2 linked regions of the Stegostoma tigrinum genome follow. The protein of the gene in region 2 interacts with the protein of the main gene of each other region in a pairwise test. Links are inferred from orthologs where the notes say so. Each region holds a gene or a part of one and is shown on either strand. Other genes may lie near its edges.

Evidence for each region. The genes of interacting proteins can lie anywhere in the genome.
Region 1: the proteins of bnip3 (region 2) and apoptosis regulator Bcl-2-like interact in a two-hybrid assay, tested with the Homo sapiens proteins (2 studies listed by BioGRID and IntAct). The link is inferred for Stegostoma tigrinum from reciprocal best matches to the Homo sapiens genes BNIP3 and BCL2.

The regions. Positions count from the first base shown.
Region 1 is NC_081355.1:54,574,902-54,585,053, forward strand, and holds the start of apoptosis regulator Bcl-2-like, read left to right. Parts: upstream 1-6,356; 5' UTR 6,357-6,610; coding exon 6,611-7,078; intron 7,079-10,152. UniProt on the Homo sapiens protein: Suppresses apoptosis in a variety of cell systems including factor-dependent lymphohematopoietic and neural cells. Regulates cell death by controlling the mitochondrial membrane permeability. Appears to function in a feedback loop system with caspases.
Region 2 is NC_081373.1:36,994,245-37,004,199, forward strand, and holds the start of bnip3 (BCL2/adenovirus E1B 19 kDa protein-interacting protein 3), read right to left. Parts: upstream 4,419-9,955; 5' UTR 4,262-4,418; coding exon 4,222-4,261; intron 1-4,221. UniProt on the Homo sapiens protein: Apoptosis-inducing protein that can overcome BCL2 suppression. May play a role in repartitioning calcium between the two major intracellular calcium stores in association with BCL2.

The sequences.
Region 1 (10,152 bases), on a different chromosome or scaffold from region 2:
CTGTACTGGATGAATTCCTGGAATGTATACAAGATGGTTTCTTAGACCAGTACATGGAGGAACTAACAAGGGAACAGGCCATCCTAGATTTTGTTTTATCCAGTGAGAAGAGGTTAATTAATAATCTTGTTGTAGTAAGTTTTTTTGGGAAAAGTGATCACAACATGATAAAATACTTCATCGGGATAAAATGTGAAGTAGTACAATATAAAACTGAGGTTCCAAATCTAAAATACGAAGGAAATCTCAAAGGTATATGAATGCATTGGTTTGATAATTTTATTAAAAGACATTACAGTGGTCAGGCAATGGTTAATATTTAAGAAACACCTACACACAATGCAACAGGTACACATCCATTTTGGATGAAAGACATAAAAGGAAAAGTGATGCAACCATAGATAACAAAAGAAATTTCAGGCCAGTATTCAATCCAAAAAGGAATCATATAAAGTTGCTAGAAAAATATATCAAGTCTAAGGACCGGGAGCAGTTTGTAAGTCAACAAAGAAAGACCAAGCGGTTGAAATAAGGATGGGGACTGTGATACACTTGAACAAATTAGTATTCAGAGGAATAAGATATTAGTGTTTTAGCAGGCTTGAAATTGAATAAGTAATGAGGCCCAGATGAAATGGATCCAAGGCTGCTGTGCAAAGCAAGGGAGGGGATCGCAGTGGTTCTGACATTCATTTTCAAATCCTCTCTGGCCACAGGAGATGTGGCAGAAAACTGGAAGGCAGCTAATGTGGTAGCATTATTCAAACAGGGAAGTAAGAAACTATAGCCCAGTGAGTCTAACATTCTGGTAGGTACTGGACAAAAGATCTGAGGGTCAGTACTAATTTCCACATGGACTGGCAAGGATTAATCAAGGAGAGTCAGTGCGGCTTTCTAAGGGGAAGATCATATTTAACAATTTTTATTTAAGTTTATGTGAATGTGACTGCGTATAGATGAGGGTAGTGCAATTTATGTGTCTACATGGATTTCAGGAAGGCTTTTGCCTAGGTCTTACATAGGCTGAGGGACTTGAGGCTGTTTTCGTTAGAGAGAAGAAGGTTAAGAGGCAACTTAATAGAGACATACAAGATGATCAGAGGATTAGATAGGGTGGAAGGTTTTTTTCAAAGGCCTTAAGGCCTTTTTCCTCGTGTGGTGATGGCTAGCACAAGGGGACATAGCTTTAAATTGAGCGGTGATAGATATAGGACAGATGTCAGAGGTAGGTTCTTTTCTCAGAGAGTAGTAAGGGCGTGGAATGCCCTGCCTGGAACAGTAGTAGACTTGCCAACTTTAAGGGCATTTAAATGGTCATTGGATAAACATATGGATGATAATGGAATAGTGTAGGTTAAATGGACTTCAGATTGGTTACATAGGTTGGCGCAAAATCTGGGCCTGTAGTGCACTGTAATGATTTATGTTCTATATGGTAGATTTGTTAAAAAGCTAAGGGCCCATGGGACCCAGAGCAATTCGGCAAAGAAATCCAAAATAGGCTTCATGACAGGAATCAGAGGATCAAAGATTTTTTTTGTGACTGGAACCCTGAGTCCAGTGGTATACCATATGGTTTGGCACTGGGTCCCTTGCTGTTTCTTGTGTACATTATCAGTTAGATGTGAATGTAGCAGGCATGATCAGTAAGTCTGCAGTTGTATAGAAATTGGTGGTGTGGCAAGTCATAAGGAGGAAAGCCTTAGACTTCAGGACAATACAGATGGGCTAAACAGATAGGTTGAATGATGGCAAATAGAATTTATTCTTAAAAAACGAGGTAATGCATTTTGGGAAGATTTACAAGACAACGGCGTACATATTGAATGGCAGCACCCTAGGCAATACAGAGGATTATAGACTGTGGTGTACACATCCATAGATTCCCAAAGCCAGCTGGACAGATAGATAAAATGGTTAAGGCGGCATTTGGTTACTTGCACTTATCAGTCAAGACACTGAATACAAGAGCAAGAAGGTTATGACAGAGCTGTATATAGGATTAGTTAGGCCAAAATTGGAGTACTGTGTGCAGTTCTAGTTACCACACTATATAGGAAAGATATGATTGTGCTGGAGAGGGTGCAAAAGTGATTCACCAGGATGTTGATTGGCTGAAGTGATTCAGGTATGAAGGAAGAGTAGATAGGCAAACGGTGTTTTCATTAGAGCAAAGGTGAAAGCAGAGGATCTGATTGAAGTGTCCATAATTTTGACGGGCACAGACAGGTTAAATAGAGAGAAGGTTTCCTCTCAGTGCAGGGGTCGATAATTCCTTAACATAAGGAGCAGAAGGTTTAGAGGGGACTTTAAGAAAACTATTTCACAAAATTGGTTGTGGATATCTGGAACTCACTGCCTGGAAGGGTGTTAGAGGCAGGAATCTTCAAGACATTTAAGATCTGTTTAGATGAACACTTGAAATGCCTTAGCATACAAGGCTACGGGCCAAATGTTGGGAAATAAGATTAGAAGAGATGGATGTTTGATGACTAGTCTGGATACTATAGGTGAAGGACTTATTTCTTTGTTATGAAAACTCTATGACTCTATGATTCTGGAACAATCTCATTGGGCTAGAAGTTGGCAAATGAATTACCACACTAAATAAAAGGGAATTGAGAATGCAAAATCAAAGTGCAATATACCGGCATGATTGGGAATCAGTTAGAAGACGTAAGAAGGCTTCAGGGTGATTTTAAAAAAACATGATGGGCAATTTCATGGCAGATGCAGAATAATGTTGATAAGTGTGAAATTGTATACTTCAGTAGAAAAAGCAATTGCGTGCCACATTATTTAAATAGTGATATATTGAGAAATATAAGTACAAGGCCAAGGTTGCTGCAACTTTACAGGGCCTTGCTGCATCATGTGCAGTTTCGGATGCCTGACCTGATAAAATATACTTATCATAGCTGGACTGCAATGGAGGTTCATCGGACTGATTCATGCAATGGCAGGTTTCTCCTAGGAGGAAAGACTGGGTCAGCTGAATTCACCGTAGTTTAGAAGGACATGAAATTCCATTGAAGTGTATAAAATTCTGGCAGGCTGAACAGACTTGCTGCAGATATGATGTTCACCCTGACTAGGTGCTCTAGAAAAAGGAATTACAGTCTTAGGAAGCCAGTGAGCCATTTCCTGAATGAGATGAGAAATTTCCTCACTCAGATGATGGTGAATTTGTGGATTTCTTTACCACAGAAGAGTATCAAGGCCAAAACCACTGAATATATTTAAGAAATAAATTGGGAGACACCACAAACTATAGGATCAAAGGGGTGTTGAGATAAAAAGCACTAGGTTATAGCAGCATTGTTTAGTCATAATAATGATTTCATTTTTAAAATGGTCAGCCTGAATTTCCAACACTTCATGAGCCCTTTGGTGCATTTCAGTTAATGGTACTGTTATTTCATCACCTAGAAGATGAGCAGTTTAAAAATTGCTATTAGTTTGCTTTAGTTTTATTAGGTAAAGCATCTGGTCAACCCCACAGTGGGTTTCATGGTGAAACGGGCCATTTAATCAAGAGAGAGGAAAGCAGGTGATGACAATGCCTACTTAAAGGGTTCATCTTGCCAAATGCTGATATTAACCCAGTGGAAGGTGAGGGATTTGTGATCATTGCACAACAAATAAACTCTGGCATGTGCACTTGCCAGTTTAAGCGATCCTCCTCATTCAAAGGCACATTAGGAAGTGAAACACTGGCAGCTGAGAGCTGCCCTTACTGCCAACTCCTCCTCTCCTCTCCTCCTCTTACTCCCCCTTTGAGCCCCTTCTCACCATCACTAACCTGAAACGTGGGATCTTGCCAGGACATTTTTCCCTGGGGTATAAGAGGCTGAGGGATAACCTTATAAAAGTTTATAAAATCATAAGGGGCATAGATAAGATGAAAAGCCAAGGTCTTTTCTCTAGGGTAGGTGAGTCCAAAACTAGATGGCATTGGTTTAAGGTGAGAGGGGAAAGATTTACAAGGGACCTGAGAGGCAACATTTTCACATAGAGGATGGTGAGTATACGAACAAGCTGCCAGAGGAAGTGGTAGAGTTGGGTACAATTACAACATTAAAAAGACATTTGGACAGTAGATGGATAGGAGAGGTTAAGAGGGATATAGGCCAAAAGCAGGCAAATGAGACTTGCTCAGTTGAGGAAACTTGGTGGACAAGTTGGGCCGAACAGCCTGTTTACCTGTTGTATGACTCTGAGATAGAAAAACAAAGAACGGAGATGTAAACAAAGTTGCCAGGAAAGCTCAATAGCTCTGGAAGCATCTGCGAAGGAAAAAAGGAGTTAACATTTCGGGTCCGGTGACCCTTCCTCTGAACACTTCAGAACGGAACAGTCACCGGACCCGAAATGTTAACAATTTTTTTCCTTCACAAATGTTGCCAGACCTGTTGGGCTTTTTCAGCAACTTTGTTTTTGTTCCTGATTTACAGCATCCGCAGTTCTTTCCATTTCAAAGAACATAAATTGCTGGGAACAGTCAGCAGGTCTGGTAGAATCTGTGAATAGAAAGCACAGTTGACTTATAAAATCCCGTGGCCCTACTTCAGAACACCTGGGATAGATCCATGATCATGTTGGCAGGTGGAGAGGCTGGTATTGGCTCAATGGCCTACTCCTGCTCCTAATTTCTGTGTTTCCAATCAAGGGACTACTGACAAGGATAGAAGTCTTTAGGTTCAGATGACAGTCAGAAATACTCAAGTGATGTATATTTTCCGATATAATAATTTGGTAACTACTCCTTGCACCTACCCTCTACATGGCTCATGCAGTAGATCATTGACTGACAATACATTATCGACTTTATCTTGGAGAACTGAACCCTCAGGCTCACATTCTTTCACCTTGATTGCTCTTTCAACCAGACTACTCCATGTTGTGTCACTGTGTTCAGTCCAACCGTTGCTCAATATTAAAGAACAGTATTTATCTGAAATCGGTACACAGCTCGCATGCATAAATTATTGGGGGTGGAGGGACGGAGGTTGCTGACAACCCTTACAATCCACCCGAGGTTTGGATTTCAGATCTGTGCATCGAAAGGACAGCAGCCTGTCACATTACTGGCGAGAAATGATCAGCCTGTAAACCTGTTCATGGGATTGTAGTCCACGTCTTCCTAACCACCCAGCCCTCCCTCCAAAAAAGGAGGGATTTGACGTGTTTGTGGACCAGCTGAAAATGTTTCTCCTTTCTTTCGGATTCAACACAAGAAAGACGTTTTGTTCACTCGCTGAAGGCTGGTTTTTTTTGGCAGACTGGCGCAGTGGAGAGGCCAGGAATGAGACGAGGAGTGAGGCGGGGACACTGAGCAGCCACTGCTCACTTTGGTGCCTCCCACTCGGGCTGTAAGTGATTTTAGTGAATGAACATGCCGTGAGCGGCAAATGGTGACGTACAGGATATTGCGTGTTTTCTGGGGAAGAGAATGAAGTGCAGAGTGTGAAAATGAGACAGAGAGAGATCTGTGCCCCGGGGGCTCTGACTGACTGACTGCAGGAAGAGGCAAAAGGAAGGGTTCGGGGTTTGCAGCGCCCGAGGCCTCCTCTCTCGCTGACTGCAGCCGCTCTGGAGGTGGCTGGGAGCCGCAGGACACACCTTCTCCGCCGGGTTTTCAGGAGTCGGTGGAGGGGGCGGTGAACCGAGCTCTGCACAGGAAAAGAAAACCGCCTGGAGGGAAGAGTGGAGCGGGGTGGGGAAGGGCTGCCGGCTGGGGTCTGGGGAGAAACACTGCTCCCACCCACTATCGACAGGAGCTGCTGGAGCAGTCTTGGATCTGCCGGCTTCGACTGAGGGAAGCGGGCAGCCTTCTCTCACCAGTCCCCCGCACCCACCCACCCACCATCTCCTCCTCAACAGTACGACACCAGCCACCATCACCCAGCCACCGCTTTGGGATTATCGCTCACTCCCTTCACTGACTTGCCAGCAACAGAGGCTGACAGCTGGTCCCGCTCCTCTTTACATCTAATTCTACACGTCAGGTTTCGGAGCTGAAAATCCGGCAGCAGCAGCCGCCGCCACACACATACAAAAACTCCATCATAACGAGGGAGAGAGAGAGAGAGAGAGCGGCAGAACAATTCCTCTTTCCTTCAACGGACGGAGCTGAAAAACCTCTCAAAAACTGCAGTCTGTTGGGGTCAGTTTCGTATTCGTCTCACATCAGAGGAGCAAGCGTTTTGACAGAGGGTGAAAAAGAAAATGTGCGTTTAAATTTACGAGCAATTTGCAGTCGACCAAAACGGAATCCATTACTGCAACGCACGGAAAGTGGAATTAAAAACGGGGGTGTGTGTGTGTGTGTGTGTGTGTGTGGGGGGGGGGGGAAGAGGAGCCGGGAGCAGTTTGAGCGATTTTATGAGGAAGATTTGAAACAAAAAAAGGAACATGTTTGGAGGAACAAAATCAAATTGATTAAGGCTACAGGGACGCAGTGAAGTTGACACCTGAGGCGGAAAAAAGTCCTTTTTTATCAAAGTGGTCCCCCGAAGTGGTTCCAGGGATGTGCTGCTGTTGGCTGTGAGACAAAATTTGAACAATTTCGTTTTTGTTGTAATACCATCTTCTTCCCCGCTCGAACGAGATGCCTTACAGCAGCCGTGAATTGGTTTGCCATTACCTGTATTACCGGCTGTCCCGCCAGGGATTTGTGTGGGAGGAGCCCCTAGACACCGCTGCCGGCTCTCCGACCCCCAGCTCACCGAGCCCCGGCCGGCCCCGGGCGTCCGCCGCCGACAAAGCGCACCGCGTCCTCCGCGAGGTGGGCGACAGCTTCGAGCGCCAGTACCAGCAGGAGTTCGCCGACATAGCGCTGCAGATGCGCTTCGAGCCCGAGAGTGCCCGCGGCCGCTTCGAGGCGGTGGCCGAGGAGCTGTTCCGCGATGGAGTCAACTGGGGCCGGGTCGTGGCTTTCTTCGTGTTCGGTGGCACCCTGTGCGTGGAGAGCGCCAAGAGGAGGGACATGGCATCGCTCATTGATAACATCGCCGCTTGGATGACCGCTTACCTGGACAGCAGCCTCACTGACTGGATCCGCGCCAATGGAGACTGGGTATGTAACCAGTGGCCAGGATACACCTTCACTCACCCTCATCACTTGACTATTCTTGAGATTGTCAGCATCATCCACCCCCTTTACCTGCAAAGGAGAGAGACTGTGTGGGACGGTCTGTTTCCTGCCCACTTGCATCACCTACACACCTTCCCACTCAATAAAATGTTTCCCTCCTATCACCTTTCCTGCCCACTTCCATCGCCCAACATATCTATACAGCCTTCACATTCATCCACTTCTGGCCACCCTTTTCTACGTTGCATCACCAGCCACAGGTGGGTGTTTGTTAATGTTTCCGAAGCCACGTGTTTTTAGTTGAGTTTGAATGCCCGATATACATGCAGCTTCTTCTGCATGGCATACTTGTTAGGTCTTGAACTGTTCCATAGTTATGTATTTCTGTTGGATCTTTAGTCCATATCGTTTCTTCAGTCTGTATTGTGATTGCATTCTGTCCTCAATTTTCTTGTATTCTCGTAGAAACCTGGATAAGCTGTAAAATGACTTGATGCTACCCCAACAAAAAGCTGTACCGTTTACGTTCATAGCTTTTAGAGGTGTATATATTTACTTCGCTAAGCATAAATCATGGCGTACCACTTTGTACCCCAATGGGCAGCTGGCTATTCTATCTGCAAGATATTTTCATCCATGTACTGTGCAAGGCTTGTTATTTCGAGTGATGATCTCATTCATTAGATGTACAAGTTTGGTCTTTGTTTGCATACACAGCAGTCATCATGATGTGATATAACAGACACGCTTGCATTTCAAGAATCTAAGGATTTTGGTTGACCTATAACATAGCGTCTCTTGGATAGTCTGAATAGATTTAGGTGATTACCAATAAGTGTGTAGTTTTGAATAACAGAGCTTCCCAAAATGGGGCTCAGGACCCAAAGTGGTATTGAGAGTTGAAACTTTGGGCTTCCAAGCACCGAGACAACCATGGCTGCTGTGGAGTTCTGACCGAGTTATAACAGCTGTTCTCCATCTCTCATAGACCTCTGCCCCCCTCAAATCCCAAGTCCAATCTCTCATTTCATTGAGGGGTCATTATTATTTTCAAAATTAGAAACGGGGGTCATAGTTGGAAAATGTTTGGAAAGCATAAGAAATGTCAAAGGTTAATTTTTTTGACTGGTAAATATTTAGGGTTGATTGTGTTTCTGGGAGAATATGGCTGTAATGACTTTCCATGTAAGTCAGAGATAGGGTATCTTAACATTTATTTAGTATTTCTCTGAGGAAAAATATTCTTTACGAAGATTGTTCATCCATTAAAAATGTTCAAGACTGTGAAGAAAACATTTGTGTTTAATATTGCTGTTGTAATCAGTTTAATCACTACTTATCTGGCATTATGTCTGGTTCTGGGTATTATTTTAGTCAACAGCATATGTTCTTTTGAGGGATTATGGATTTGCTCTCTTGTATAAATCTTCTTCATCCTACATCTAGACATCTGTTCACAAAATATCTTACATACAAAATATATAAATGTTATGCTGTGATAATGTTATTAAGGATCAGTTCAAGTTGAAATCCTGATGAGTTGTTTTCAGCAGTGAAGTTCTGATGTAATGAATACAGGACTTTAAACTATGATGTCAACAATTAATTGTTTTTAGTGAGATCTTAGATATCTGTATTTGCTTTCTATTTGACAGTTCCAAATGAGAACACTGTTAAAATCACTTCAGATTAATTTGTGCAGCAAAACTACTTTAAAATACCAAGTGCAATTAGTTAAACTTAGGGTGCTTACTACATAAATATGATCAGCCTCCAGATTAAATGAATAATTTTTAGAACTTGTATTTATATAGCATTAATGCTGTCTTTAAGCTATTGAAAAGCACTTTACAGTCATAACAGTGACTACCTTTTTAGATGTGAAAAATATAGGAAAAACATCTTTAATGGTTAAAAGTTACAAAGCTCTAGTTCAGACTATTGATTATAGTGATGACTCTTCATGATTTCTTTACCTTGTAAAATTTAACAAAAATAAATCAAATATAAGCATTCAGTGTACATATCTCATATAAATCAAAACTGCTTTTCATTTTTTTCTTTTTCACAAACAATTAGTCAGTATTCTTACTTTCCATTGTTTTACATTCCTTTTTTTAAATTACTGCTTTACACCAGACAGTTAGGAGATGGAGATTGATCCCATAGTTTTCAGGAGATGAAATATATGCAAGCTGAACCGGATTGATACTTTATTATTTGTTGAATCTATAATTTTGTCTACCGTATGGGATAGGATATCTTCTGTTGCCACTCTCCTCGAAGCCTGCACCATTCAAACCGGTCACAATATTATCATTCCTCAATTCCCATTGAGAAGCTGTTTTAATTCAAGTAGGATCTGTACTTTGAATGCTTACTTTCAAATTATTATTTTTTTTTAAGTTTTACAAGGAAAAGGAATCATAAAGACCCATGAGTATAATCAATAGTCTGAACTAGAGCTTTGTAATTTGTAGCAATTAAAGATGCTTTTCGTATATTTTTCACATTTAAAAGCTCTTCTTTTGCAGTACACAAGCTAGTTACAAATTATGCAACAGTTGTCTGCAGCATTGATTTATTTTTCTCTCTACAAATCTGTTCCCTTCCTAGTTCCTGCTGTATCTGTACATCCTTTGGTGACTACTCTGTTTGAAACATAGAAGGTTTAAGATAAGGTTTTGATTAGGTAGAGAATATCTAATGACTCTGGATCAGTAACTAGAGCTTACAAATGGTTGAAAATCAAAGTTTGATTTCAACAATATTTTTTAAAGAAACTCTACAAGGTAGTTGAAAGTGAAGAATTTATGGGGTTATAGACAACAGGCGGTAATGTAGCAGTAAGCATGAACTGTTTGTCACAGCCAGTACAGAGGCATTATCTTCTCAATCAATGCTGTCAATTGCTGTTTTCAAGATTCTAGCAATGACAGTAGCTTCCTGATTTATGGAACCATGCTATTTCAAGGTGAGAGCTAATGTACCAACTTCTGGTTCGTTATAGTGACTGTGGTTAGCCAAAGTTTGGATAGCAATTATTATGCTTGATC
Region 2 (9,955 bases):
GCACTGGCACCACATCTATATTGCACATGACTCTTCTCATGATCTGTTTTCAAAGGTGCCAGTCGTTTTATGATTCATAAACAAAGTGGTGCCACATGTTCGCTACACAGGCCAATCTAGCCCCTTTTCATTTACAGGGTCAGTACTAATATTTTATCATTAATTTTCATTTTAAAAAAAACAACCTTGTGGTACATTTAAGTTCAGCATTTTAAATCTGGATAGCAGGAAAATAAAGTCAGGTCAAGTATAACAGCTGGTCCCCAAAGCAATACAGTAACATAAATGCTAATTTTATCACCTGCATCTCTGGAGCTGATCTGGATTAAGGAAACTTAGGGATATGGGTTAGGACACATTTGTGCAATTATTAAAAAAGGTTTAACAAGAAACAAAAAGTACCTCCTGCAGAAGAAGCTATTACGTCCTTCCTGTGAACTGCATCTTGTCCAGACCTTTCAGACTGCTCTACAGGGTAATCATTAACTCCATGTACACAAGTCCTTCACTGAAAATAAAGCAACTGCCACACTGCTTTGATCAAGTGCACTCCTCTTTATAGTCCACCACATTTTCTAGATTACAGGTCGAAATTTTTTCAATTAACTTGCCCAAACATTTTAATGTCAGTATTAATAGTATATTCAAGTTGCATATAATGTGTTCTTTATGATCAGCTCTTTTTTCCCTGCACTGGATAGAATTGAGCCTTTCACACACAATTACTACAGGGACTATTTTTGTTCCTTATGGTGACCCAGCACGTTACATCAAATATGTCACTCGAACAGTTGTTTACTTTTCAAAAACTCATAAAGGATAGATGTTTCCATCGAAACTTAGCTACCATAAGTGAAGAGATGTTCTGAACTAATCAAATGAGACAAATCAGCAAAGCCAATGATAATTTAGTTTTGTCTTTGTAAAAATAATTGGCAACAACTTTCTAAAATTTGCTGTTCTAGTTACAAAGCTTCATACTGTGAGTAACACATACTGGTGTGGCCATATTTCTCAATTCTTGTTTGCCAGAAATTGCTGGAATTCCCAAGGCATGCTTCTGGGGATGAGGAGTAAGATGCTTGCCTCATTTTTACTTGACTTAATACCCTACACTCATGGTAAATTACCTTTAAATTGCAGTATACATGTACCTTCCATGTTAAGTACCGTTAGAACATCACCCTCCATCCCAACTATTGTCTTTTTCTGAGTGAGATCATGCAACTATTCAGCCCAGACAGGTAATCATTTTAGCTCTGCACATTGCCAAGACATCTTTAGAGTAATGTGAGATGAACATTATACGATGCTCCCTTTGTATCCGCACACTGTTAAAGCCAAGGAACTAATCAATCTATTGGCAAGATGATAGAAAGAGGATCACAGAAGATCATTGATCAGGTCACAGAATCCCTACAAGACTTGATCCCCAGGACTTGAATGAAGAAAAGAAAGTCAGAATGTCTGACCTACTGCAGTAAATCCAGTGTGAACACCACTCCCATTTTATGGAAGTTTTAGAGGGAAGCACCAGAACTGAGTACAGGAGCGATCACATGTACATTCCCCTCTAGATGTCACATAAACAAATGGATCTAAACTGAAGTGCAACAACTAATGACACAAGCAATACTCAATAGTACTGACTGCTATATATGTGCACCAAAACAGAGCACATCCCTTAGAAAGGGCGGTTATATTTTATATTTTGTTGCCCCGGCATGTCAAACAAATTTTATTCAATCAAATAATTATTTGATTATTTATACAAAACAATTATACGCATGGGTTGTTGATCTAGTTTGTGTTTAGTACACCAAGGTTAAAAAGATACTGTTCCAATTGTTAATCTTGCTGTCTGGGGCCATAAATATGATCATAAACAGGGATAACAAGGTGTTATCCCTGCACAGCAGGCCAAATGGCATCAGAGGAGCAGGAAGACTGACGTTTCATGCCTAGACCCTTCCTACTATCTTATAGACAGGGATAGTTAGGAGGGAAAAGCACAAAATGAAAAATAAAACAACTTATTGGAGAAATGCAAGATGATTTTCTTTGGAATTTAGTTCATTACATAAAGTTAGTAGACACTTGTAAGTCACATCACCATAGTTTTACATGACAATAGGGTTGCTCTTTCATTTGAAAGAGATGGCTGGTGGTGCTTTAAGAAGAAGGTCACCACACCTCAAAGGGACAGGATGAGAAGAACAGTCCTTCATGGTAAGCTGAGTCAGTACTGGAATTAAACTCAATATTCAGATCAACTGTCAAACCAACTGAGTAGTACTTGTTTATAAACATAACTGTTTCTTCTTACGCCAATCATTACAAACCACGCTTATATGGTTAGCTCCAAATCAATTTGCAAAGTTTTATATTGACATACACAGCTAACAACTTTCTTGAGGCACACTGCTTCTAGAGTATTTAGAAGCCAAGCCACATGCAACTTTCTTTTGAAATCTACTCAATTTAGCAGTGTTTGGGAATAGAGGCAATATTATGAAAATGAGCTGTTGATGTTGAGTCTCATCAAATGAGCCTGCAACTATGCATTAAAATTGATCATTAAAAAATTTTGGGGAAAGAAGACAACATCTCCAAAAGGTATTCTTGACAGGTTAGCTTCTAAGATGGAAGAGAAACTTTCTAAATTTATTCCTTGGTGTAATTAATTCCAGCAGTGTTATAGTTAGTATGAACCATCCTTTAAACATTACAAAAGCAACAATATCAAACTACACTACAAAAATAATGTTGTTCTTTTTAGTTTGTTTCTGTTGCCATCTGTGAAAGTTGCATGCCTGCTTCAAATCAACATTGATATAAAAATCTTAGTATTCACATAAGCATATATTTTGGATATCCAACATGAAGCATGGTGCAAGCAAAAAGCAAAACCTATGCAAGATTGTACATCCACAGCAAGAATAACCTCTTGGCATGTGGTCACAGGCAAGATCAAGATATAGCAGCCACAGAACACATGCAGTAAAGATATAGGGTGAAAATTTATAGTCTTGTTTAGGACATCATGGGAAGCTGGTGGCTATTTCAAAAAGTTGAAGGAGGGTTGGAGAAGGGGTGCATGTAAAGCCTGACCGAATTGTTAAGTGGGCTGAGACTCTAAAGGATACATACTGTTTGGTGCATTTCAAACCCCATGTGCTGCTCATTCAGCCTGGCATGCTCTGCACAATAATTTAAAAATGGGAAGTCTGGGATGTGCCATTGATACATCTCATGAGAAGTTTGCGCATATACATTCTGCAAGTTGCAATCATCTGCTGGGAGTCACTTGAGCGTGCATTTTGAAAAGTGAGTGGGGCGATGGGTGCGGGGAATAAGGATAATACTCGGTGTAGATGAATCCAACAGAATGTGAGACACACCTGCTGGGCACAAGTCGATCATTCAAAGGTGAGGAGGCTTTAGGAGCCCTTTGTAACAAGATTTTGACTCCAGTCTGCCACAGGTCAGTCAGAGACTGAGGACCCTAGCGCCCTAGGAAGATCAGAGATCAGGAGTTCATATCCTTTGGTAAATACAATGAATCAGTGCGTTGCCCCAGTCAATAGGGCAGGGAGTGGACAGAAAATCTAGCCCATTGTACCTGGCATAGAAAACAGAGGAATACTTCGGTCTTTGCTGAACTTGTTTTCTTCTACAGTTAAGCTGCCATTTTAGATGTTACATTAACCGACAGTAGAACTATCCCAATAAAGGGGAAAATTCATAACAGCTCCGTACAGAATAAACAGGCAGCCTATACCATTGCGTGTTTTATCAGTGAGCAAGTAATTAAAATTCATTTGTGAGAGAATTTTGCAGTAAAGGTTCAGAAAGAATATACTCAGTGAACAAACAGCGGATGTGCTGTGTGGATTTGGTTTATATTCTGCGGCAGTGCTCTCATCCACAAGCTGCTTTGGTTACAAAGGGAGTTGTACCGAGATTCGGTGCAAGGACAACAAATCAGGCAGGCTGCAGTTAATCCCCGATCATCAGGCTTACCCGCTGTCGAACGGAGAGGCAGGCAGCAAAGGAGGAGCGGTTAACTCCCCTCCCCCACCTCCCCGGAGTGGGGTCTGAGTCTGGGCCTCTCCACGGCGGTGGTCAGGGTCGGGGTAAGTCCCCGGGGAGAGGGCCGATACCCGGAGGACATTGGTCTATCCGCACCCAGCCGCTCGGACGAGCCCTGAGCTCACTTACCCTGCAGGCTCTCCTCCTGGTTGCTGTGCCGTTCACTCATGGTTCTGGAAAGTTCTCTCCAGCTGCAGACCCCCGCCCCCCAGCTCCGGCTCCGGTGTAAACAAACTGATCCCCGATCCGTGGGGCAGCGGCGGCCAATCAGCGCCGAGCGGAAGGAGCTGCCTGAACTCGGCCGCGCACTTCCGGAGATAGGGGTGGGAGATGGAGAGGTACTGAGGCGTTTGACATGGGGAACCGGCGAGCGCTTGGTGGGGGATGACACGGGGAGACGGCGGGGCACTGGGGGGGGGGGGAGTGACACGGGGAGACGGCGGGGCACTGGGGGGCGGGGGAGTGACACGGGGAGACGGCGGGGCACTGGGGGGAGTGACACGGGGAGACGGCGGGGCACTGGGGGGGGGGAGTGACACGGGGAGACGGCGGGGCACTGGGGGGGGGGAGTGACACGGGGAGACGGCGGGGCACTGGGGGGGGGGAGTGACACGGGGAGACGGCGGGGCACTGGGGGGGGGGAGTGACACGGGGAGACGGCGGGGCACTGGGGGGGGGGGAGTGACACGGGGAGACGGCGGGGCACTGGGGGGGGGGAGTGACACGGGGAGACGGCGGGGCACTGGGGGGGGGGGAGTGACACGGGGAGACGGCGGGGCACTGGGGGGAGTGACACGGGGAGACGGCGGGGCACTGGGGTGGGGGGAGTGACACGGGGAGACGGCGGGGCACTGGGGGGGGGGGGAGTGACACGGGGAGACGGCGGGGCACTGGGGGGAGTGACACGGGGAGACGGCGGGGCACTGGGGGGGGGGGGAGTGACACGGGGAGACGGCGGGGCACTGGGGGGAGTGACACGGGGAGACGGCGGGGCACTGGGGGGAGTGACACGGGGAGACGGCGGGGCACTGGGGGGGGGGAGTGACACGGGGAGACGGCGGGGCACTGGGGTGGGGGGAGTGACACGGGGAGACGGCGGGGCACTGGGGGGGGGGGGAGTGACACGGGGAGACGGCGGGGCACTGGGGGGGGGGGGAGTGACACGGGGAGACGGCGGGGCACTGGGGGGGGGGGGGAGTGACACGGGGAGACGGCGGGGCACTGGGGGGGGGGGGGAGTGACACGGGGAGACGGCGGGGCACTGGGGGGGGGGAGTGACACGGGGAGACGGCGGGGCACTGGGGGGCGGGGGAGTGACACGGGGAGACGGCGGGGCACTGGGGGGAGTGACACGGGGAGACGGCGGGGCACTGGGGGGGGGGGAGTGACACGGGGAGACGGCGGGGCACTGGGGGGGGGGGAGTGACACGGGGAGACGGCGGGGCACTGGGGGGAGTGACACGGGGAGACGGCGGGGCACTGGGGGGAGTGACACGGGGAGACGGCGGGGCACTGGGGGGGGGGAGTGACACGGGGAGACGGCGGGGCACTGGGGGGAGTGACACGGGGAGACGGCGGGGCACTGGGGGGGGGAGTGACACGGGGAGACGGCGGGGCACTGGGGGGGGGGAGTGACACGGGGAGACGGCGGGGCACTGGGGGGAGTGACACGGGGAGACGGCGGGGCACTGGGGGGAGTGACACGGGGAGACGGCGGGGCACTGGGGGGAGTGACACGGGGAGACGGCGGGGCACTGGGGGGGGGAGTGACACGGGGAGACGGCGGGGCACTGGGGGGAGTGACACGGGGAGACGGCGGGGCACTGGGGGGGGGGGGAGTGACACGGGGAGACGGCGGGGCACTGGGGGGGGGGAGTGACACGGGGAGACGGCGGGGCACTGGGGGGGGGGAGTGACACGGGGAGACGGCGGGGCACTGGGGGGGGGGGGAGTGACACGGGGAGACGGCGGGGCACTGGGGGGAGTGACACGGGGAGACGGCGGGGCACTGGGGGGGGGGAGTGACACGGGGAGACGGCGGGGCACTGGGGGGGGGGAAGTGACACGGGGAGACGGCGGGGCACTGGGGGGGGTGACACGGGGAGACGGCGGGGCACTGGGGGGGGGGAGTGACACGGGGAGACGGCGGGGCACTGGGGGGGGGGGAGTGACACGGGGAGACGGCGGGGCACTGGGCGGCGTGACACGGGGAGACGGCGGGGCACGGGGGGTGACACGGGGAGACGGCGGGGCACTGGGCGGTGTGACACGGGGAGACGGCGGGGCACGGGGGGTGACACGGGGAGACGGCGGGGCACGGGGGGGGTGACACGGGGAGACGGCGGGGCACGGGGGGGGTGACACGGGGAGACGGCGGGGCACTGGGGGGGGTGACGGCGGGGCACGGGGGGGGTGACACGGGGAGACGGCGGGGCACGGGGGGGGTGACACGGGGAGACGGCGGGGCACGGGGGGGGTGACACGGGGAGACGGCGGGGCACGCGGGGGGGTGACACGGGGAGACGGCGGGGCACGGGGGAGTGACACGGGGAGACGGCGGGGCACTGGGGGGGGGAGACGGCGGGGCACGGGGGGGGTGACACGCGGAGACGGCGGGGCACGGGGGGGGTGACACGGGGAGACGGCGGGGCACGGGGGGGGGTGACACGGGGAGACGGCGGGGCACGGGGGGGGTGACACGGGGAGACGGCGGGGCACGGGGGGGGGTGACACGGGGAGACGGCGGGGCACGGGGGGGGTGACACGGGGAGACGGCGGGGCACGGGGGGGGGTGACACGGGGAGACGGCGGGGCACGGGGGGGGGTGACACGGGGAGACGGCGGGTCACGCGGGGGGGTGACACGGGGAGACGGCGGGGCACGGGGGGAGTGACACGGGGAGACGGCGGGGCACGGGGGGGTGACAAGGGGAGACGGCGGGGCACGGGGGGGGTGACACGGGGAGACAGCGGGGCACGGGGGGGTGACACGGGGAGACGGCGAGGCACGGGGTGGGGTGACACGGGGAGACGGCGGGGCACGGGGGGGGTCACACGGGGAGACGGGGGGGTGACACGGGGAGACGGCGGGGCACGGGGGGGGTCACACGGGGAGACGGGGGGGGTGACACGGGGAGACGGCGGGGCACGGGGGGGGTGACACGGGGAGACGGCGGGGCACGGGGGGGGTGACACGGGGAGACGGCGGGGCACGGGGGGGAGTGACACGGGGAGACGGCGGGGCACGGGGGGGAGTGACACGGGGAGACGGCGGGGCACTGGGGGGGGAGTGACACGGGGAGACGGCGGGGCACTGGGGGGGGGGGAAGTGACACGGGGAGACGGCGGGGCACTGGGGGGGGGGGAAGTGACACGGGGAGACGGCGGGGCACTGGGGGGGGTGACACGGGGAGACGGCGGGGCACTGGGGGGGGGGAGTGACACGGGGAGACGGCGGGGCACGGGGGGTGACACGGGGAGACGGCGGGGCACTGGGGGGGGGGGAGTGACACGGGGAGACGGCGGGGCACTGGGGGGGGGGGAGTGACACGGGGTGACTGCGGGGCACTGGGGGGGGGGGGGAGTGACACGGGGTGACGGCGGGGCACTGGGGGGGGTGACACGGGGAGACGGCGGGGCACTGGGGGGGGGGGAGTGACACGGGGAGACGGCGGGGCACTGGGGGGGGGGAGTGACACGGGGAGACGGCGGGGCACGGGGGGTGACACGGGGAGACGGCGGGGCACGGGGGGGGTGACACGGGGAGACGGCGGGGCACTGGGGGGGGGTGACACGGGGCGACGGCGGGGCACGGGGGGGTGACACGGGGAGACGGCGGGGCACGGGGGGGGTGACACGGGGAGACGGCGGGGCACTGGGGGGGGGGAGTGACACGGGGAGACGGCGGGGCACTGGGGTGGGGGGGAGTGACACGGGGAGACGGCGGGGCACTGGGCGGCGTGACACGGGGAGACGGCGGGGCACGGGGGGTGACACGGGGAGACGGCGGGGCACTGGGCGGCGTGACACGGGGAGACGGCGGGGCACGGGGGGTGACACGGGGAGACGGCGGGGCACGGGGGGGGTGACACGGGGAGACGGCGGGGCACGGGGGGGGTGACACGGGGAGACGGCGGGGCACTGGGGGGGGGTGACGGCGGGGCACGGGGGGGGTGACACGGGGAGACGGCGGGGCACGGGGGGGGTGACACGGGGAGACGGCGGGGCACGGGGGGGGTGACACGGGGAGACGGCGGGGCACGCGGGGGGGTGACACGGGGAGACGGCGGGGCACGGGGGGAGTGACACGGGGAGACGGCGGGGCACTGGGGGGGGGAGACGGCGGGGCACGGGGGGGGTGACACGGGGAGACGGCGGGGCACGGGGGGGGTGACACGGGGAGACGGCGGGGCACTGGGGGGGGGAGTGACACGGGGAGACGGCGGGGCACTGGGGGGGGGGAGTGACACGGGGAGACGGCGGGGCACTGGGGTGGGGGGGAGTGACACGGGGAGACGGCGGGGCACTGGGCGGCGTGACACGGGGAGACGGCGGGGCACGGGGGGTGACACGGGGAGACGGCGGGGCACTGGGCGGCGTGACACGGGGAGACGGCGGGGCACGGGGGGTGACACGGGGAGACGGCGGGGCACTGGGCGGCGTGACACGGGGAGACGGCGGGGCACGGGGGGTGACACGGGGAGACGGCGGGGCACGGGGGGGGTGACACGGGGAGACGGCGGGGCACTGGGGGGGGGGTGACGGCGGGGCACGGGGGGGGTGACACGGGGAGACGGCGGGGCACGGGGGGTGACACGGGGAGACGGCGGGGCACTGGGGGGGGGTGACGGCGGGGCACGGGGGGGGTGACACGGGGAGACGGCGGGGCACGGGGGGTGACACGGGGAGACGGCGGGGCACTGGGCGGCGTGACACGGGGAGACGGCGGGGCACGGGGGGTGACACGGGGAGACGGCGGGGCACGGGGGGGGTGACACGGGGAGACGGCGGGGCACGGGGGGGGTGACACGGGGAGACGGCGGGGCACTGGGGGGGGGTGACGGCGGGGCACGGGGGGGGTGACACGGGGAGACGGCGGGGCACGGGGGGGGTGACACGGGGAGACGGCGGGGCACGCGGGGGGGTGACACGGGGAGACGGCGGGGCACGGGGGGAGTGACACGGGGAGACGGCGGGGCACTGGGGGGGGGAGACGGCGGGGCACGGGGGGGGTGACACGGGGAGACGGCGGGGCACGGGGGGGGTGACACGGGGAGACGGCGGGGCACGGGGGGGGTGACACGGGGAGACGGCGGGGCACGGGGGGGGTCACACGGGGAGACGGGGGGGTCACACGGGGAGACGGCGGGGCACGGGGGGGGTGACACGGGGAGACGGCGGGGCACGGGGGGGGTGACACGGGGAGACGGCGGGGCACGGGGGGGGTGACACGGGGAGACGGCGGGGCACGGGGGGGGTGACACGGGGAGACGGCGGGGCACGGGGGGGGGGTGACACGGGGAGACGGCGGGGCACGGGGGGGGTGACACGGGGAGACGGCGGGGCACGGGGGGGGTGACACGGGGAGACGGCGGGGCACGGGGGGGGGGTGACACGGGGAGACGGCGGGGCACGGGGGGGTGACACGGGGAGACGGCGGGGCACGGGGGGGTGACACGGGGAGACGGCGGGGCACGGGGGGAGTGACACGGGGAGACGGCGGGGCACTGGGGGGGGGAGACGGCGGGGCACGGGGGGGGTGACACGGGGAGACGGCGGGGCACGGGGGGGGTGACACGGGGAGACGGCGGGGCACGGGGGGGGTGACACGGGGAGACGGCGGGGCACTGGGGGGGGGAGACGGC